Linked DNA regions of Arabidopsis thaliana. The protein of the gene in region 1 interacts with the protein of each later gene in a pairwise test. Each region holds a gene or a part of one and is shown in the gene's direction. Other genes may lie near its edges.

Region 1 (6,342 bases):
GAAGGCGATAAACCTCGAAGAGCATATGAATGTCAGTTTTTGATTCCTTTTTGAAACAAGCAAAAATTGACGAAATCAATAACCCTAGTTTAACAACTTTTATACATTACCTTGACGCAATCCGATCGCGGAATCAAAAGTTCTTCGAGCTTGTACATGCCGCAGAACCTACGATATAAACATAAATTACAAAATGATTTCAGCTCTCTCGAGGACTCAATTTCAAAATTGAAAGGAAGAAGAAGAAAACGATGAAGCTAAATCTAGAGAGGGATGAAGAAAACAAACCCAGTTGAATCTTCGCATGACTCTTGTGAATTCAAAGCTAAACAGAGAGGAAAAAACGGAGAGGTTTTTGATTTTGAGAGTTAAACCCTTAGACCATTTCCATGATAAATTCCAAACAAACATAAATCAAAAATATTAAAATAATAATTTTTTAATCAGTTTTTTTTAGAATATTTTCTGAAATGAGAAACTTGGAGAAATTTTATCTCTCTTCCAAATGTCATCTTGTCATTAATTTCTTTTCTTTGTTATAAATAAAATCATTTATATTTTATAACATCAATTAAATACTTTATATGTTTATTTTTTTTTTTTTTTTTACTTTTAAAATTCATAAAATTAAATTATCTATATAACAAGCTCTATTATATATATGTTTAAATTATATACGAATATTATTTAATTGGTGTTAGTTAAGCATTAAACATAATAATAACTTATAAATACAATAGTTTTTTTTTAATTAGAAAACAAACATTTAAAATTTTCTATTTTTATTTTACAACATTTTTGGCAATCGAATTCGACTTCGTGATAGAGATATGCACCAACAACTAAAAGATGACCTAGTTGAGCATATATGACAAAAGTTTGGTGCATTATCAAATGAAGAGTAAAACCATAATAGATAATATAGTTAGTTTTGATTTATGTTATCATGGTTTTATATGTAATTTCTGTGTAATTTATATATTTTTTCTATTTAATTTATGTTATCATGGTTTTATATGGAATTTTATGTTTAATTGATATATTTTTTATTATGATTTTATATGTAAAGTAATGTTTAATTATGTTTAATTATGTTTAATTATGGTTTTAAAAATAATAAAACTATTTAATAATATAATTGTAAAAATAATAATTGATATGTTTGAAAATATTGTAGAGATTTTAAATTTAATATAAAAAACATATAATAATATGTTAATGTTAATGAGATACTCATAAGAGTATTTCACCAATGGAAGCACAATTTTAGTATAAGTTTCTCTACTTAAATTAAAATATTAATAATATATTATGAGGTACTCATGGAGTATCTCACCAATGGAGATGCTCTTACGCATATGCTGACGAGAGACGAGAGAAGAGACGTTCGCTAAATCTTTTGCTTTCTCGCCACTACGTCCAGAGTCTCTCTCTGGTTCAGAAGACTCGAAATGGGTTAAACACGTATTCTCTCATTCTCCGTAGTTAATTAATTTAGTGAAACGGTAAAAACAAAATGGTAAAAAATTGGCGGTCGTTATTTTGTAGCGGTAAAGAAAATAGTGAGTTAGACTATTTACAAGTTAACTGTTTGAATTAAAAGTTGAAAGTGATTTGGAAAAAGATGTTGTAGAATTTCTTCAACACCGTTAATTTTGTGAATAAAATCCTTGTACACATATAGTCTTAGAAAATTTGGAAAAAGGTTTGATAAATGTAACTTAGATGCTGCTTGGATTATAAAAAGTAAGCTTTATGGATACGGACTTGAGTTCCCAAGATCATTTAGGTTCAATCTGATTTTGAGGTTTATATAAGAAGCTTCATTTAAACCGTTGAGTGTTTGAGCTATATGAAACTTCAAAAAAATGTCATTCGTTTAAATACCATCAAGAAGAATGTGAATCAACTTTTCTTTTTGGATGAAAACTAGTTTTTTGATATGGTAACTATGTTTTCAACACAACAAAATTTTATCGTCGAATGTCCGAAATGATAAAGACACTCTTAACCTTCATCGGAAAAAATAGCAATTTTTTGTGGTATATCAATAGCGGTTACAATCTAACTTGTTTTGTTGTTGTTATTATGATTAGAACTGTCAATTGGGTGGACCGCATGTGGGTTTTTACAGTCCAAATACACACGGACGGATTATGGTCTGGACTCCAAACTAAAAAACATAAACCAAGCAATCAAAAAGTTAGAATAAGATATTTTTTAGTTAAAACAAAAATCGTAAGTGAAGAAGGTCTGAATTTCTTGAGGAAGATAAACGGGCACAAAACCGGTGTACATACATGGATTATGGATATGTTCTAGAGGAAAGGTATAATTGAATACTAGTATCCGTTACAGAAACTAATTGCATTAAGTTTCGTCTACTGTTTAAGACCGCACGAGATATATATGTTAGACCGACTTTGGGAAAGAGGCTACTTAAATTATTTACGATTAATAATGCCAACGTAACGCGGACAGACATTTTAATTCAATTATTATTTGTTGCCTGCGAGATTCGAACCATCTCTTATTTCATTACTTAACCCAAACCAAAAAAATAAAAAGTTCATTTCGAAAGAAGAAGAAGAAAACATCAAATCATGAGTGGGCAAGAGAATCATGATCATGGCCGGATCTCTTCTACGCCCGCCGCCGCGTCGGAGCCTTCCAAGGCTGCTGCTCACTCCTCTGACTACGCTCCTTACCCTAAGCTCGATCCTACCGACGTCACTCCTCCTCCTCCTCAGCCTATTCCCACCGGTGCCGCCGCAACCACCATGCCAGCGGAATCCAATCCTTACGTTTCTCCTTCCCCTGCCCCAAGGAGTGAGTTCTTCTTCTCTCTATCCGATTTCGCATCCTAATCCAATTTCTGCCTTTGATTGATTGATTGATCTTGGTTTGGGGACAGATACGATGGATTCGGTGAAGGATACGTTAGGGAAATGGGGGAAAATGGCTGCCGACGCCACCAAGAAGGCGGAGGATCTCGCCGGAAATTTTTGGCAGCACTGTAAGCGCTTCTTCTTCTTCTTCTTCTTCCCCCTCGATTAGATGAATTACCAATTAATCTGATTACCGTCTCTTGGAGAATACGATGGTATTGGTTATGCCCCTTCTGGTTAAGTTAGTGTTCATCAATTGGCGCTTCTTCGGAATTTTACTTCGCGTTCAACCACCGACACTAAATCTAGCCAACAATTTTGATATTCATGCTCTTCCGTTTGAGTTTAAGCCAATTAGTTCTTTGTATCTGGTTATTGCCTTTGACTCTTGAAGCTTCTCTAGTATAGGTTGTTTTGGCTTTATTTCTCCGCTTGTGTGATGAATTAGTATTATATACATATGGTTGGAGGGAGGGATGATATTTTATATGAATTGAGACTTGAGAGTATACGTTTTGATATCTATCCTTTCTTTTTCAGTGAAAACAGGCCCAAGTGTAGCAGATGCTGCTGTTTCACGAATTGCTCAGGGGACAAAAATACTTGCAGAGGGTGGATACGAGAAGGTCTTCAAGCAAACATTTGATTGCCTTCCTGATGAAAAACTTCTCAAGACCTATGCTTGCTACTTGTCTACATCTGCTGGTCCTGTCCTGGGAGTTATGTATCTTTCGACTCACAAGCTTGCGTTCTCTAGTGACAATCCTCTCTCTTACAAAGAGGGTGAGCAGACCCTGTGGAGCTATTACAAGGTATACTCGCTCTCTATCCTATGGTTACTTTTTCTTTCTAACTCTTTTATTTTATATCTATTTACATCTAAGAAAACTATTTGAGAACAAAGATTCAGCGAATGTAATATTTGATGGTGACATGATAAAGCGTTAAGTGAGTTAAGTCATTTTCAATGCATCTATTTACATAGATTCATAGACTATAACAAATTTTCTTGTCATTTCTAGTTATTGACGTATAGAACGTAGTGTGTGTACGCTTATAGTAAATGGAAACTACATAATCATTCTAACGATATTGTTGAGTAGTTGCATGTTAGTTCCTATGTAGACAATTAGGACTTTAGTGGTTTGCCTAAGAGAGTAAGCTAAATCTTGTAGCATTCTTGATAAAACTAGGGGAGCCATTGAATAATTGTTAGTTTGAGAGTTTGGACTGGTTCTAATGTAAACATCTAACATGAGCTGAAATCCTATTAAACCAAGCAGAAAGCTTCTTGACAACATGATCTTTGGAAAACTGATTTTAAGATTTGGGTGGTTCTTGAGAACCTTTTTTCGTTCCTTGAGAACCTTGCACTTGCAGTCTATTTTCTGTCATTCTTCCTTGTAAAGTCTGTGGCTGATGATTTTGATGTGATGATCAGGTGGTACTTCCGGCGAATCAGCTGAAGGCAGTGAACCCATCAACAAGTAGAGTGAACACATCTGATAAATACATACAAGTGATTTCCATCGACAACCACGAGTTCTGGTTTATGGGGTTTGTGACTTATGAAAGCGCTGTGAAGAGCCTTCAAGAAGCGGTGCAGTCACATGGTCCGTGAAGGTCCACTGGTATAAATGGCAGCTCTTAGTGATATTGTGCATTAATATATGGAACAGTGTGTTTTAGTATTTGATACCATTTCAATGTGTTCTACATTTTGTCCTCTTGGCGTTTACTCATAAACATTGCTTTTGTTCATTTCCTTTTGTATAAAATTATTTCTTATTTTTTTTGAGGGAACCTTGTCCTTTAGATCTAACATTCATGATTTGTATTCGTGTTCTAAGTTGGATTCGGTCTTTGGTTTTTGATGAGTTTAGGATTTTAAAGGTGATCAAGTTGGGCGCTATAGACAAAACCAGCATTTAGAAAGCCCAATATATCACCGATGGGCCTTTGAAAAGAGCCCAAATCGATAATAAGCATGCATGGGAGAATTGGTGACACGGGCTCATTACAACACTTTCATCATAGAAGATCCTATGTTTAATGTGTTTAAAACAAATCTGGTATGAGTTTTGGAAGATAGTAACATTGAGTATATATGTGGAAACAAATCTAAATGGTGGGGTTTGTGCAATCGCCTAAATTGTTTTTTACTTGCATTCGTTATATGCAAATATCTAAATGATTAAAACCAAAACCAAAAATATCTAATATGATATATTAAAATATTAAGCTTCATTGTATCATTCTTACGAAGTGACCAACTTTAGAAGTTAGCGAATTGTCTGTCATTAAGCCTATTGCTCCTTGTCGTCTTATTCTTTGCTCACCAACGAGCTACGTCCTTTGAATTTCTTATTAAAGTTGTTAGCATATAAACTATGACTAGTGCCCATCAAATTTGAAGATTTAGCATTTGGACTCTTCTTGTGTTAACTGAACATGGTCAGTCTTACAATATCTATATATTCAATGGTTATCGAGTGATTGTGTCATGAAATGTTAATATAGTTGGATCTTTTAAAAAAAAATGTAAATATAGTTGAACCATATACATCCGTTGAAAACAACAACAGCAAAAACTGATAGCTCTGAACCATCTTTGTAAGAGTGTGTTTGCGACTACGGGAGTCTTGATATCAAACCGAAACCACCCTATATATGAAAAAGCTTCATAAAACCGATTTCTCGATTACTTTAATAAGATGGCATATCGGGTGTTAAATGTGTTTGTGCTACACAAAACAAAGATAATGCGAAGTTTCACACACAAAACCAAAGCCGTAAACGCACAGAAGAAGCTACTTCTCGTGAGCATGAGTTCTCTTCAGACGTTTTACCTCCCCACAATCCATAAGCTACATAAAACCGATCTCCGGTTTCCAGATTAATTTACCATTAGTATTTTACAAAAGTTTGTAAGTAAAAGAAAAATAAGGCAATCATGCAAAATCGAAAAAAAAAAAAGATGGCGAAAAGGAAAAGAAAGTAAGGCGGGAGTGGCAATTCAAAACCAAAATAAAGTAATGAAGAAGCGAGTCAAAGTAAGGCAACATAATTACGTACACTATTTGATGAGTCAAACCTACATCTTTCTATGACCAAATTTGAGAGGTGGCTACTTCTCTTAGGCTTTGCAACTTGAAAAATATGTTCCGCATCTAATCTAATAATAGGATGTTGTCATGTTCATATGTTTCGTTGAAAAATATTAATTCTAATTAAAACTCGTGTTAACATCAGGATTGGATTTTTATGTTCATAGTGATAATTAAATATCTCCAAGATTAGTGTAACAACAACAAAAAAAAGAATAATACTTATATCATAATCTCAGGATGATCATGATTGCTCAACTAAGTAGGGATTGGGTCAATCACTGGTTAAAAGAGAAGAAAAAGGTGAAATGATTATTCTAGAGTTTTCATTAAAGTTGAAATACCTT
Region 2 (5,542 bases), on another chromosome or scaffold:
CACATCTTTTACTATATAGAGGATTCCAAAAAGTTGGAAGAAAAACAATTCCTAAATTGAAAAGATTTTTTTCTTTTTCTTGCTATGAATGTAAATAAAATCTCAAAAAAAAAATTAGGAGATGATATATATCAAGATGAATAAAGACGAAAGAGACTTAAAATTTGTTACTGCTTCCCTTCTGTCATCTTTGTATTATTTCCTATCATATTGTTAGGAAAGATTTATTTCTTTACATATGAGAAATATGACAGCATCAAATTCAATGTGCATCAAACGTTTTGACTATTTTTGATTTTCTTCCAAAATTAAAACGACAAATTTGATTTTGAAAGCAACTTTTAAAAATACGTTTCGCCAAACTAATTACAGTATAAATTGGATCTCATAGCCAATAACTTTATCTCATCAAACAAAACTCAAGTCATCTATTTCTCTTGTTGCATAGTCCCCCAAATATTCATCATGTCGATCAAGAGTGTTGTTTCTCTCCTAGTAGTTGTATGCATCGCAGCCTCCGTTAATGCTCAGCTACCGCAGTTTCCCCCAATCATGTTCCCGTTTCCAAATCCGTTCAAACCAAGTCCCGGTATGGCAGGAAGTCCCGACTTGAGCAAATGTTGGTCAACAGTGATGGATTTGCCGGGATGCTTTGAAGAGATTCAACAAGCCGTAATGTCCGGCAAATTTGAAGGCGTTGGTCCTGCTTGTTGTAAAGCTTTCCTTGACGCTGAAGCTAACTGCTTACCAAATCTTCCATCCAACCCGTTTTTCCCTCCTATGATGAAACACCAATGCTCCAAAATGGCTAGTCCTCCAACCACCACCGCCTATTAGAATGCAAAAATGTAGTTGTGTTTTTTCGAATTTTTTGTTAGTCCCAGAATGTTCTAGAAGAAGAAATGATAATAATAATGTCTTAATCTAATAATAATGTCTCATTTCTTATATTGTGCTCCATATGATTGATGTTCTTTCTTCTTTTGATTGATGAATGAATCTCAAAGACATGTTGCGTGATATCTCTTATGCGGTTATGACAATGCTTTCTATATAACTCGACATGTAGACCGATCACACACAATTTAGAATACATCACATACATTACATACTATCAAACAAAAATGTTCCAAAATAATGAAAAGAAGATCACGCCCAAGCTCTTTTCCTAGGGGAAAGATCAGAAGTCTTGATATCATCTATTTTAGCCGCCATTATGAAATCATTCATGCTCAACCCTCCTGCATTATTCATCCAACAAACCGTCTTAAGAAACCATATATTAAAACTCAAACTCGAACATCAAATATTTGACATACCGATAGAAGAGGTAAATAGTTCAGCTCGAACTTGGGTAGGACTTTCCAAGTGAAGAGAAGGGTAATGACCAGAAGCTTCAGCAACCTTATGGATCCTGTTTATGAGTTCAACACCGCACCCAAAATCCCTCACTTTCCACATACACCTTATTTTCAGACCACCCGCTTCATTATCCACTATACTCCATCCCAAAACCTAAAACGTTTACATAATAATCATTGAGATTGATGTACCACATCATTAGAGTGGTAACCGTGAACCAAAACACCAACATGAGCCTTATCAACACTAATCATTTCATTTTTTTTTAATCTCGTAACCATTGTTCCTAATATGTCCCTCATGATACTAAAATTTTCATTGGCTTTTCTATATTTTTGGGTCACAATTCTATCTTTATAGATTAGAAATCTGTTAAACGCAGAATCAATAACATTTTCACAATATTTTGATCAACCAACAAACTTGTAAAATCAAAACTCGAACATTTTTATACTAAGAGAGAAATAGTATAAGTACCTTGTGGAGGAGAGTTCTGGCATCATCGCCGGACAAAGGAGGCTGTGAAGACGAAACAGGGGAACACTGAAGCTGGGAGAGAGACAAAACAGATGCGTTTGGTATCAAAATCTTGTGCTCAGTGCTTTGGCATCCCAACACTTTATCTCCGAATTGACTCGCTATCTCCTCCGGGTAAGGGTCACGAGCTCCGAAGTCACCAAGAAAATCCTGCGCCAGATTAGACCGGGTCACCGTTAACCGGCCGAGTTTACGGTTATTCCTACTTACAGGTGGTAATAAACCGAACACTTTAAGGATTGAGCGAGAAGGTTGACGGAGGAGGAGGGAGGACGCGGAGATGTTACACGGCGGTGATGATGACGTGGCGGCCATCGGGAGCTGTGATTTGCTCTGTACCGAAGATAAGAGTTTTGGTTTTTAGAGAGCGAAACGATTTTCAGACCACTGGACTGAGTTAAATGGGTGAGGTGCCACGTAATCACTAATGACTAATGGGAACCACAATAAACTTTCGTGGGACCGACTTTACACGTCACGTTTTAATCTGAGAAGCCCATTGGGTTTGATTGTACTTTTGTGTCCACTTTTGGTGAATCTACTTAAGATTTCATAATTCCGAAAGTATCCTTTTTGGGTATCTTTAATTACAAACAAACCTTCCCTTCTTTCCCGATTTCAAGCCCTAAAATTCCGAGACTTCTGTTTCTCGCTTTAACGACAGTCGCCGAGTGAGAGATATAGAGAGAGAAAGATGCCGGTGCACGATGAGCAAGAGCATGAGGTGTACGGTGGAGAGATCCCAGAAGAGGAAGAAGGTGAGATGGATACGGAAGAGTACGAAGAACACGGCGGAGAAGAAGGTGCCGCCGCCGGAGATGAGGAGCTTGAACCTGGCTCTAGCTCTAGGGTATTGTGATTCTTCGATCTATAATTTACTTTTATCCAATTGAGACTCTTCTTATTTTTTACTGTATTTAGTCTGTTATTTGCTTTGATTGTTTGATAGGACTTGGAGGATATGAAGAAACGAATTAAGGAGATTGAGGAAGAAGCTGGAGCTTTGCGTGAAATGCAAGCCAAGGCTGAGAAAGATATGGGTGCTAGTCAAGGTTTGTACTTATTAACTGATACGTAAAATCTTGAATCTTTGTGCGCAGCTTCACATTAACCTTTAAATTGATAGATTAGGTTTAAAGCTTGTCTTGTTGATTATGATATTGCTTTGGGTTTACATATTGGAATCTTTTAGTGAATCAATGAATCTGTCTAGAAATTTACTGGAGTTTGAGTATGAGAAGGAAATCATTAATAGTATTGTGGAGTCTTGTCAGTTAGCTAATTGGGTCAATACCTTTTATGTTGTTGCATATCAATGAAGACCCTTCAGGTGGTGTTAGTGCGGCTGAGAAGGAAGAAGTGGATTCGCGTTCAATATATGTTGGCAATGTGAGGCTTGTTCCACCATTAATTTTCACATGTTTCTCATATATGTTTGTATCTTTTTTAAAGAAAGTTTGTGTGTTTTATTGCTTTGGTATCAATGAAATTTGGAGGCTGCTTGTTGTTTATTTCTTTATCTCTAGTAATTGCTAAACTAACTTTCCTTCATATTTCAGAAAGCCTTCATATCTCCCATCTGTGAAGCTGATTCTTTAGATATCCTGTGTCTTTGTTTTTTTGTGTATATTAGGTGGACTATGCATGTACTCCAGAGGAAGTCCAGCAGCATTTTCAATCATGTGGGACAGTGAATAGGGTTACAATTCTGACAGATAAGTTTGGTCAACCTAAAGGTTTTGCGTATGTCGAATTTGTGGAAGTAGAAGCTGTTCAGAATTCGCTTATTTTGAACGAGTCAGAACTACATGGTCGTCAGATAAAGGTGCAAACTCGTTCAATACGATGTAGTTAATTATTTTCCATATTACGATTTGTCATTACTAAACTTTGTTTAATCTATTTTCAGGTATCTGCAAAGAGGACTAATGTACCTGGAATGAGGCAATTTCGAGGAAGAGGGCGTCCCTTTAGACCGATGAGGGGATTCATGCCAGGAGTTCCATTTTATCCTCCATATGCTTATGGGTGTGTTCTAGAACCTTACCTGCCTATCCTCTCTTTTAAAGTCCATTTGTTTGATTCATCATGGTTGTTCATAAAATTGACAATGGTTGATGGTTTGTGCAGGAGAGTTCCCAGGTTCAGACGGCCTATGCGCTACAGACCGTACTGATTAGGCAAATTGGTGTTAAAAAAGTAGCAGCTGCTTCTCCGTTTTCGGGAAAGCTTATCATCATCAACACGGTTCATCGGACGCTGCAGTTGTTTCGATTAACAGAGATGAGTTGAAGAATTGTATGGCAGAAGAGAGAGGGGAATTATATTCTAGATTTTCTGTACAATATTTGATGACAAGTGCAACATTTTGATGAGTTCCTTTGTTTTTATTATCTTCAAACACGAGTCACGATTTCACAATAACTCGCAAGCTTCCATTGTTCTAGATTTGATGCATATTGACCAAAAAAAAACAAAAGTTAATTCTCTAAGATTAATTTGGCCACGTCGGTGAAAGAAAAGGAAACTTTCGTATATTTACATAAATAGGTTTAAAGAATGTATTAACTAAAAAAGAGAGGATTACTTAAATATGAGACTCGTTAAACCCTTTTGGACTTTCAAAGGCGGTTCGGTTCTTCTTCTTCTTCTTCCTCCTCGCTCTGCGCCGCTTAACCTCGAAGAAAAACCTCTCTAGGAGCTAGCTTCGTCGAATCTCTCTGTTTAGACTTAATCGTTTTGTTTCGATTCTAAGAATCTAGCTGATAGCGATAACATAGAAGAAACCCTAACTTCGCGAGCTTTGTTCATCAACGCGTGTGAGAAAAAAATGGGTCGGGACAACGATCAGAAGAAGAATAAGAAGAAGAGAAACAGAAGTAATGAGAATGAGAAGAGTGTTGAGAAAGTAGTTGCTAATGAAGAGAAAGTCCCAACACAGCAGAAGCAGAAGCAACAACAAGGACAACAAGGAAATTGTAATCAAAGCAAGAAGAAGAAGAATCAAGAAGTTTATCCCTTCGGAAATTACAGAAACTACTATGGCTACCGAGTGAGTTTCGTAGTATATTTTCAAATTCCTTCATAGTCTGCTCATCTTTTGGTTTAGTATCTGATTTTGGATTCGTTTGGCAACATAATGTGTTAGATAAGCAATGACACGGATGAGGATCCTCGGCTTAAAGTGTTGAAGAAGGAATGGTTTGAAGGCAAAGACTGTCTTGACATTGGCTGCAACAGCGGCATCATGACTATTCATATTGGTATCTTCTTCTTATCAATATCATAATTTGTTCCTATCTATGTCCATCCATTATAGTAATAGATATGTTGTTGTAGCTATACCTGTCCTTATGAGAATGCTATAGTAAAGTGTGATTGAACTTCCATTGTGTCTGAAATCTCTCTGGCAGCATCCATAATTTTATATAGTCGTTAGCTGATATTGTTTTGCTCTTCTTCAGCAAAAAAGTTCGGTTGCCGGAGCATTCTTGGAGTTGACATTGATACAAGTAAGACTATAATTGGTTGTCATAATATCTTCCAAGTTTTGCTTTGTGTAGGAACTGAATTATACTCTTAACTACATTATCATTCAAGTCTGCACTAAATGAACTATGTTTTCTTTGATTGAAGGTCGCAT
Region 3 (5,196 bases), on another chromosome or scaffold:
AGCAGATTTCGGAGCTGTCATGGATGTTCTCAAGAGTTACTTAGGAAGTAATACACTTACGTCATAAGAGACAAGACCATAATCTTTAGCTGTTTTGTTTTTTGAAAACTTTTAGACGTTTGTTTGCGTTACTCTTCAACTCATCTCTCTGTGATCTTTATCTGTTTCTCAGTTTTCCAATAAAGTTCTATCGCAAAGTTTGAATCATTTTATCTTCTTTGTTTTTTGTGTAAGCGATAAATCTAAAGACTCCGGTCAAAATCAACCTGTTGCAGATTATATTGTTACAACTAGATGCGTCTTGGAGAATGCATAAAAGAAAAAAGTCAAAAAACCGAATTGTTCATGAGTAATCATAGAGCGATACACTCTTGTCATCAGAGACACTAGCAAGTCGACCAGCCCGGACACCGGTTCCACCTGGTGGTCTAAAGGCCACAGACCAAACCTGGTCATTGTGGTTGCTCATTGTCTGAATCGCAGCTCTCATTTTAAGATCCCATAGCCTCACAGTTCTATCGCTTGAGCCGGTTGCTATGGCTCCACCGTCTGGGCTAGCATCAACGCTCAGCACCCAACTCGTGTGCCCTGACATGGACCCCAACAGCGTTTTCCCTTCTGCATCGTGCATGTTCACATGCCCATCATCTGATCCAGAGAAGAGGACTCTCGGGTCTACAGGGGAGAACACAAGGGACCTTACAGGCATATTGTGACCTTCTAGCTGGTGAAGTAGCTTTGAGCGGTCAACATCAAAAACACAGATCGTACCATCCATTGAACCACAAGCAAGTCGTTTCCCATTAGGAGACCAAGCCACCGAGAGAACGAATTTCTTGCTGCTGGTTTTATCGGAAGGTTTTGGTGCATCTGGGCGTGGGATTGATAGAGTTGAGATTAATCTCCAGCTTGCAGTGTCCCAAAGCTTGACTGAGGCACTACTTCCACCTGCAACAGCAAGGATCGTACCCTTGGAACATGTAAAATACTATGTTAGCAGAGCACCATTCTAAAGAGTAATGTTGAAATTATAAGCTCAGAAGCAAATAAAAACTCCACTGCAAACTAAAAGAGAGATCATTGCACTGATACTTGATAGTCACCAGGTCAAAATTCTATCATACCAAATCAAGATTTATCATCAAAGCACCAATAAATTGTTCTTAATCTACTATATAAGACTCAATGAAAAATCAGAAGATGATCTAGATCTATTTTCCGAGCAGAGTAGATGACCCTATCTGATCAGAGCTACAGATTCAAACGATACTCAGCAATTCCATATAGTACCCAAGCATTGTTATATAGATCAGGAGAAGCATTACTCGCAACTAAGAAGTGAAATTCAATGAAGCAATCGAATTCTTTCACCACAAAACAACCCAAAATCCTTCAAAACCCTAAAATTGGAGGCAATCTCATTGAGTCAATTACCTTAGGTTCAAATTGCATTCCCCAAACCTCAGAAGGAGGAGCTTCCAAAACAGCAATCGTAGCATTAGTATCAACATCAAACACACGGACAAAGCTATCAATCGAAGAAGATGCTGCAATAATCCCAGAAGGATGCGCAGCCAAAGCTGCTACTCCCAAAGAGTGTCCAGTATTAGTCCGCACAAGATCCAGCTCGTCCGGTCGCCATAACTTCACCGTCTCGTCAAGAGATCCAGTCAGAAGCAACGCCGGTCGATCTTCCGTCGCCGGAACCCACGTCGCTGCCCAAACGGAATCTTCGTGAGCGTTCTCGATCGATTTCAGACCTGCGAGTTTCATTCTCTTTTTAGGTTTTTACTGTGTTTCCTCAAGTGAGCAAGAAGAAGCAAAAGACCCAAATTTGAAACAGAGACTTTGATTCTCGTTTTTTAGTTATAAAATAGAAACTCGCGTCGTTTTTAGTAGTTGGAAACAATAGAGTGTTTAACATCGTTCCGTATTCTTGTTTACTACTAAAGGCCCATTAATATCGTAACAGGCCCATTAATATCTTCTTCCTCACTCTCCCGCCGTCGTCAGCTAATTGCGGAGAAGTACTCTCTGGAGCCGCCACGTCTCAGTGATCCGACTACGACACCTTTCTTCACTCTTCTTCTTGCGTCTTCTCTGCTCTCGTGGTCTCTCTGTTATTTAATTTTAATCGATTGAGATCGCTTTTAGCTCTCGTCTTTGAATTTTACGGGCAGAAAATGGGTGAAGAAGCTCGAGCGTTAGATATGGAGGAGATCAGTGACAACACGACGAGACGAAACGATGTCGTTCATGACTTGATGGTTGATTTATACCCGCTTAGCAGCTACTACTTCGGTTCAAAAGAAGCTCTTCGCGTCAAGGACGAGATTATCTCTGATCGAGTCATCAGATTGAAATCCAAGTAAATCGAGTTTTGATGTGATTTAGATCATCTGGTTTTTTTCTTATTGTTTTAATCTATAGCTAAAGTTTCTTTTTTGTTTCTTTTGAAGTTATGCTGCTCATGGATTGAGAACTTGCGTTGAAGCTGTTCTTCTGGTAATTTTATAGTTGGTAGCCAAATTAGGGATTTTGAAAAGTTTTACAGGGAAAATTGGTTTGAAAGGATTGATTAAAATCTAATGTTGGGACACATCAGGTTGAGTTGTTCAAGCATCCTCATGTTTTGCTTCTTCAATATAGAAACTCCATTTTCAAGCTTCCTGGTGGTCGTTTGAGACCTGGAGAATCAGGTTTAGTATGCTGTTTCCTTGCATCTTTATGCATAAATATCGCTGTCTCAATTCTAAACGCTAAAGTCATGTTTCTCCTTAATCTTCTAGATATTGAAGGTCTAAAACGGAAACTAGCATCAAAGCTATCGGTTAACGAAAATGTGGGTGTTTCGGGTTATGAGGTAGGAACTATGGCTTCTTGTTAAAGTGCTTTTGTATCTGATTGTTTCTGGCTTAAGAATGGTCTCTCTAATTACAACATTGTTGTAGGTAGGAGAATGTATTGGGATGTGGTGGAGACCCAACTTTGAGACATTGATGTATCCTTTCTTGCCACCTAATATTAAACACCCAAAGGTTGGTTAGTTAGTTTCACTTTCATTGTAAGAAAAAGTTGAGACTTTTGAAGATTTGCGCTTATACTAAAAGCTCTGCTCTATCCTCATCTTTTGTGTAGGAATGCACAAAGCTTTTTCTTGTGAGATTACCGGTACATCAACAGTTTGTTGTGCCTAAGAACTTCAAACTCCTCGCTGTTCCATTGTGTCAACTCCATGAAAATGAAAAGGTATGTACTATCTTACTTGCATTGCCCTTAACTCATCGTGAACTTTTAATCGATGTTCCTGGTAAAACTAACAGGGTCAGTCAATCAAGCTGTATTTAATTATGTGTTGTGATGTTTCATTTATGCGTTGCAGACTTATGGGCCGATCATGTCGCAAATTCCTAAGCTTCTTTCGAAATTCTCCTTCAACATGATGGAGATATGAACGAACCTCATGATCATTGCCTCTAGTAGCTCTTGCCCCCCGCAATTTGTGATAGGATTATGTTTGGGGAAATCGTTTGTGGAGCCTCTCTGAGTCTGTGACTATATAATGTATATAGGGCTTATAATATATAGACAATGTTGAAGAATAGCATGTTCTTGTTGGTTATAGAGACTAGACATGAAGTATACTGATAGATAGATTAATCAATTCGAAACAATTTTTCTTTGTGTGATAATTTCGATGTGTAATTGAATGTATACATGAGTAAAACAAATATAGGGGTGTATGCTTATTTGTATATTCCTTGTTGAAGAAAACCTTGTTATCTTCAAACATGAAACCGAGAAACATAAGTAAAGATTTTACTGTTTGTTATATGTGTTTATTGTATTTGATCAAACAATATTTGAAATATTGAAAACTTTCTATAAATATCAAACGTTAGTTTGGCATTCTGCGTTAGCGTTTTGTTGTAGTGGTGATTTTGGGAGTGTTTAAAAACCAAAAGCTAAAGAACGAAGAATCACTGAATTAACCGGTTTGTTTCCGGTTAAAATGTGGATTAAAACTTTTCGGTCAAAGAAAACCGGGAAAAAGAAGTAGTAAATGGGAAAGTCTCTAAGTCGTTGGTCAACGTCGTGAACATGTGCTTGACTAATATTAATTAATGGCTGTTTTATTTCCAAATTCCAATTTCTGGCTGAAAAGTACATGAATTATGCTTAAAACTGTGTTTTACTTAATATATAATGACGAGGAAACAACAAAAAGGAAGAAGCGAAGAACGAAGTAGACGAAGACGATGAAGAAAGGTGGATTCAGCAATAATCTCAAGCTCGCAATTCCTGTTGCTGGCGAGCAATCCATCACCAAATTCCTGTATGTTTCTCGATCTCTCTTTCTCCATGGATCTGTGGATAGATAGATGTATTTGTGTGTGGAAATGTCTCTGGTTTTGTTTTTGAAGGAGGAAAGGTTTTGGTTCTCTCTGTAGGACTCAAAGCGGTACGTTTAAGGATGGAGATCTACGTGTTAACAAGGATGGAGTTCGAATCATTTCTCAATTGGAGCCTGAAGTCGTAAGTCTTTCCTCTTCCTCGTTCGGTGCTGATTTTACTGAATTTCGCGAGTGTTAGGTTTGATTGTTTATTTGTACTGCATATGAAGATTTTGTTGAGTTTGAATGCATTAACTGTAATGTGGTTGGTGGATCTGATCATAATTAGAACCTTCTTAAGATCATTTCTGTAGTTCTGGATAGAGAAACTCAGGGATTAAGCTCATATCTTCTAGATTACTGTTTGTAATCTGTTTCGTTTGCGACTGTGTTTCAGCTGTCTCCAATTAAGCCAGCTGATGATCAGCTGAGCTTGTCGGATTTGGATATGGTTAAAGTCATTGGCAAAGGAAGTAGTGGTGTTGTTCAGCTGGTTCAACACAAATGGACTGGCCAATTTTTCGCCTTGAAGGTACTCATTGGTTAACCTTCAGATTCTTTTATGTATATGATGAGCTAAATTCCTCATCTTTTCTCTGTGTTTGAAGATTTACAAATCTTTTTCTTCCTTGCCTTGTCACTCACTGTGCATAACTCTGATGCTATATGATTAGGTCATTCAACTAAATATTGATGAAGCAATTCGCAAGGCAATTGCACAAGAGCTCAAAATAAATCAATCGTCACAGTGTCCAAATCTTGTTACCTCGTACCAGTCATTTTATGACAATGGCGCAATCTC

What was found.
Region 2: the proteins of FIP1 (region 1) and PABN1 interact in a two-hybrid assay, tested with the Arabidopsis thaliana proteins (one study listed by BioGRID).
Region 3: the proteins of FIP1 (region 1) and CFIM-25 interact in a two-hybrid assay, tested with the Arabidopsis thaliana proteins (one study listed by BioGRID).

The regions. Positions count from the first base shown.
Region 1 is NC_003070.9:9,848,562-9,854,903, reverse strand, and holds FIP1 (FH interacting protein 1), read left to right. Parts: upstream 1-2,454; 5' UTR 2,455-2,603; coding exon 2,604-2,829; intron 2,830-2,914; coding exon 2,915-3,016; intron 3,017-3,428; coding exon 3,429-3,700; intron 3,701-4,329; coding exon 4,330-4,509; 3' UTR 4,510-4,519; exon of another isoform or gene 4,520-4,771; 3' UTR 4,772-5,060; downstream 5,061-6,342. Other genes in the region: ATJ1 (DNAJ heat shock family protein), read right to left, coding at 111-168, 289-306.
Region 2 is NC_003076.8:20,777,167-20,782,708, forward strand, and holds PABN1 (polyadenylate-binding protein 1), read left to right. Parts: upstream 1-2,494; 5' UTR 2,495-2,593; coding exon 2,594-2,749; intron 2,750-2,848; coding exon 2,849-2,951; intron 2,952-3,030; coding exon 3,031-3,153; intron 3,154-3,220; coding exon of another isoform or gene 3,221-3,229; coding exon 3,230-3,288; intron 3,289-3,532; coding exon 3,533-3,724; intron 3,725-3,808; coding exon 3,809-3,927; intron 3,928-4,029; coding exon 4,030-4,075; 3' UTR 4,076-4,391; downstream 4,392-5,542. Other genes in the region: AT5G51105 (ECA1 gametogenesis family protein (DUF1278)), read left to right, coding at 466-837; AT5G51110 (Transcriptional coactivator/pterin dehydratase), read right to left, coding at 1,150-1,241, 1,320-1,515, 1,840-2,214; AT5G51130 (S-adenosyl-L-methionine-dependent methyltransferases superfamily protein), read left to right, coding at 4,730-4,951, 5,048-5,162, 5,364-5,411, 5,536-5,542.
Region 3 is NC_003075.7:14,594,305-14,599,500, reverse strand, and holds CFIM-25 (homolog of CFIM-25), read left to right. Parts: upstream 1-1,984; 5' UTR 1,985-2,183; coding exon 2,184-2,368; intron 2,369-2,459; coding exon 2,460-2,505; intron 2,506-2,605; coding exon 2,606-2,699; intron 2,700-2,789; coding exon 2,790-2,863; intron 2,864-2,951; coding exon 2,952-3,038; intron 3,039-3,138; coding exon 3,139-3,249; intron 3,250-3,382; coding exon 3,383-3,454; 3' UTR 3,455-3,821; downstream 3,822-5,196. Other genes in the region: MTO2 (Pyridoxal-5'-phosphate-dependent enzyme family protein), read left to right, coding at 1-67; VIP3 (Transducin/WD40 repeat-like superfamily protein), read right to left, coding at 344-970, 1,435-1,773; MKK2 (MAP kinase kinase 2), read left to right, coding at 4,260-4,336, 4,425-4,536, 4,792-4,926, 5,069-5,196. UniProt on the Arabidopsis thaliana protein: Component of the cleavage factor Im (CFIm) complex that plays a key role in pre-mRNA 3'-processing. Involved in association with CPSF6 or CPSF7 in pre-MRNA 3'-end poly(A) site cleavage and poly(A) addition.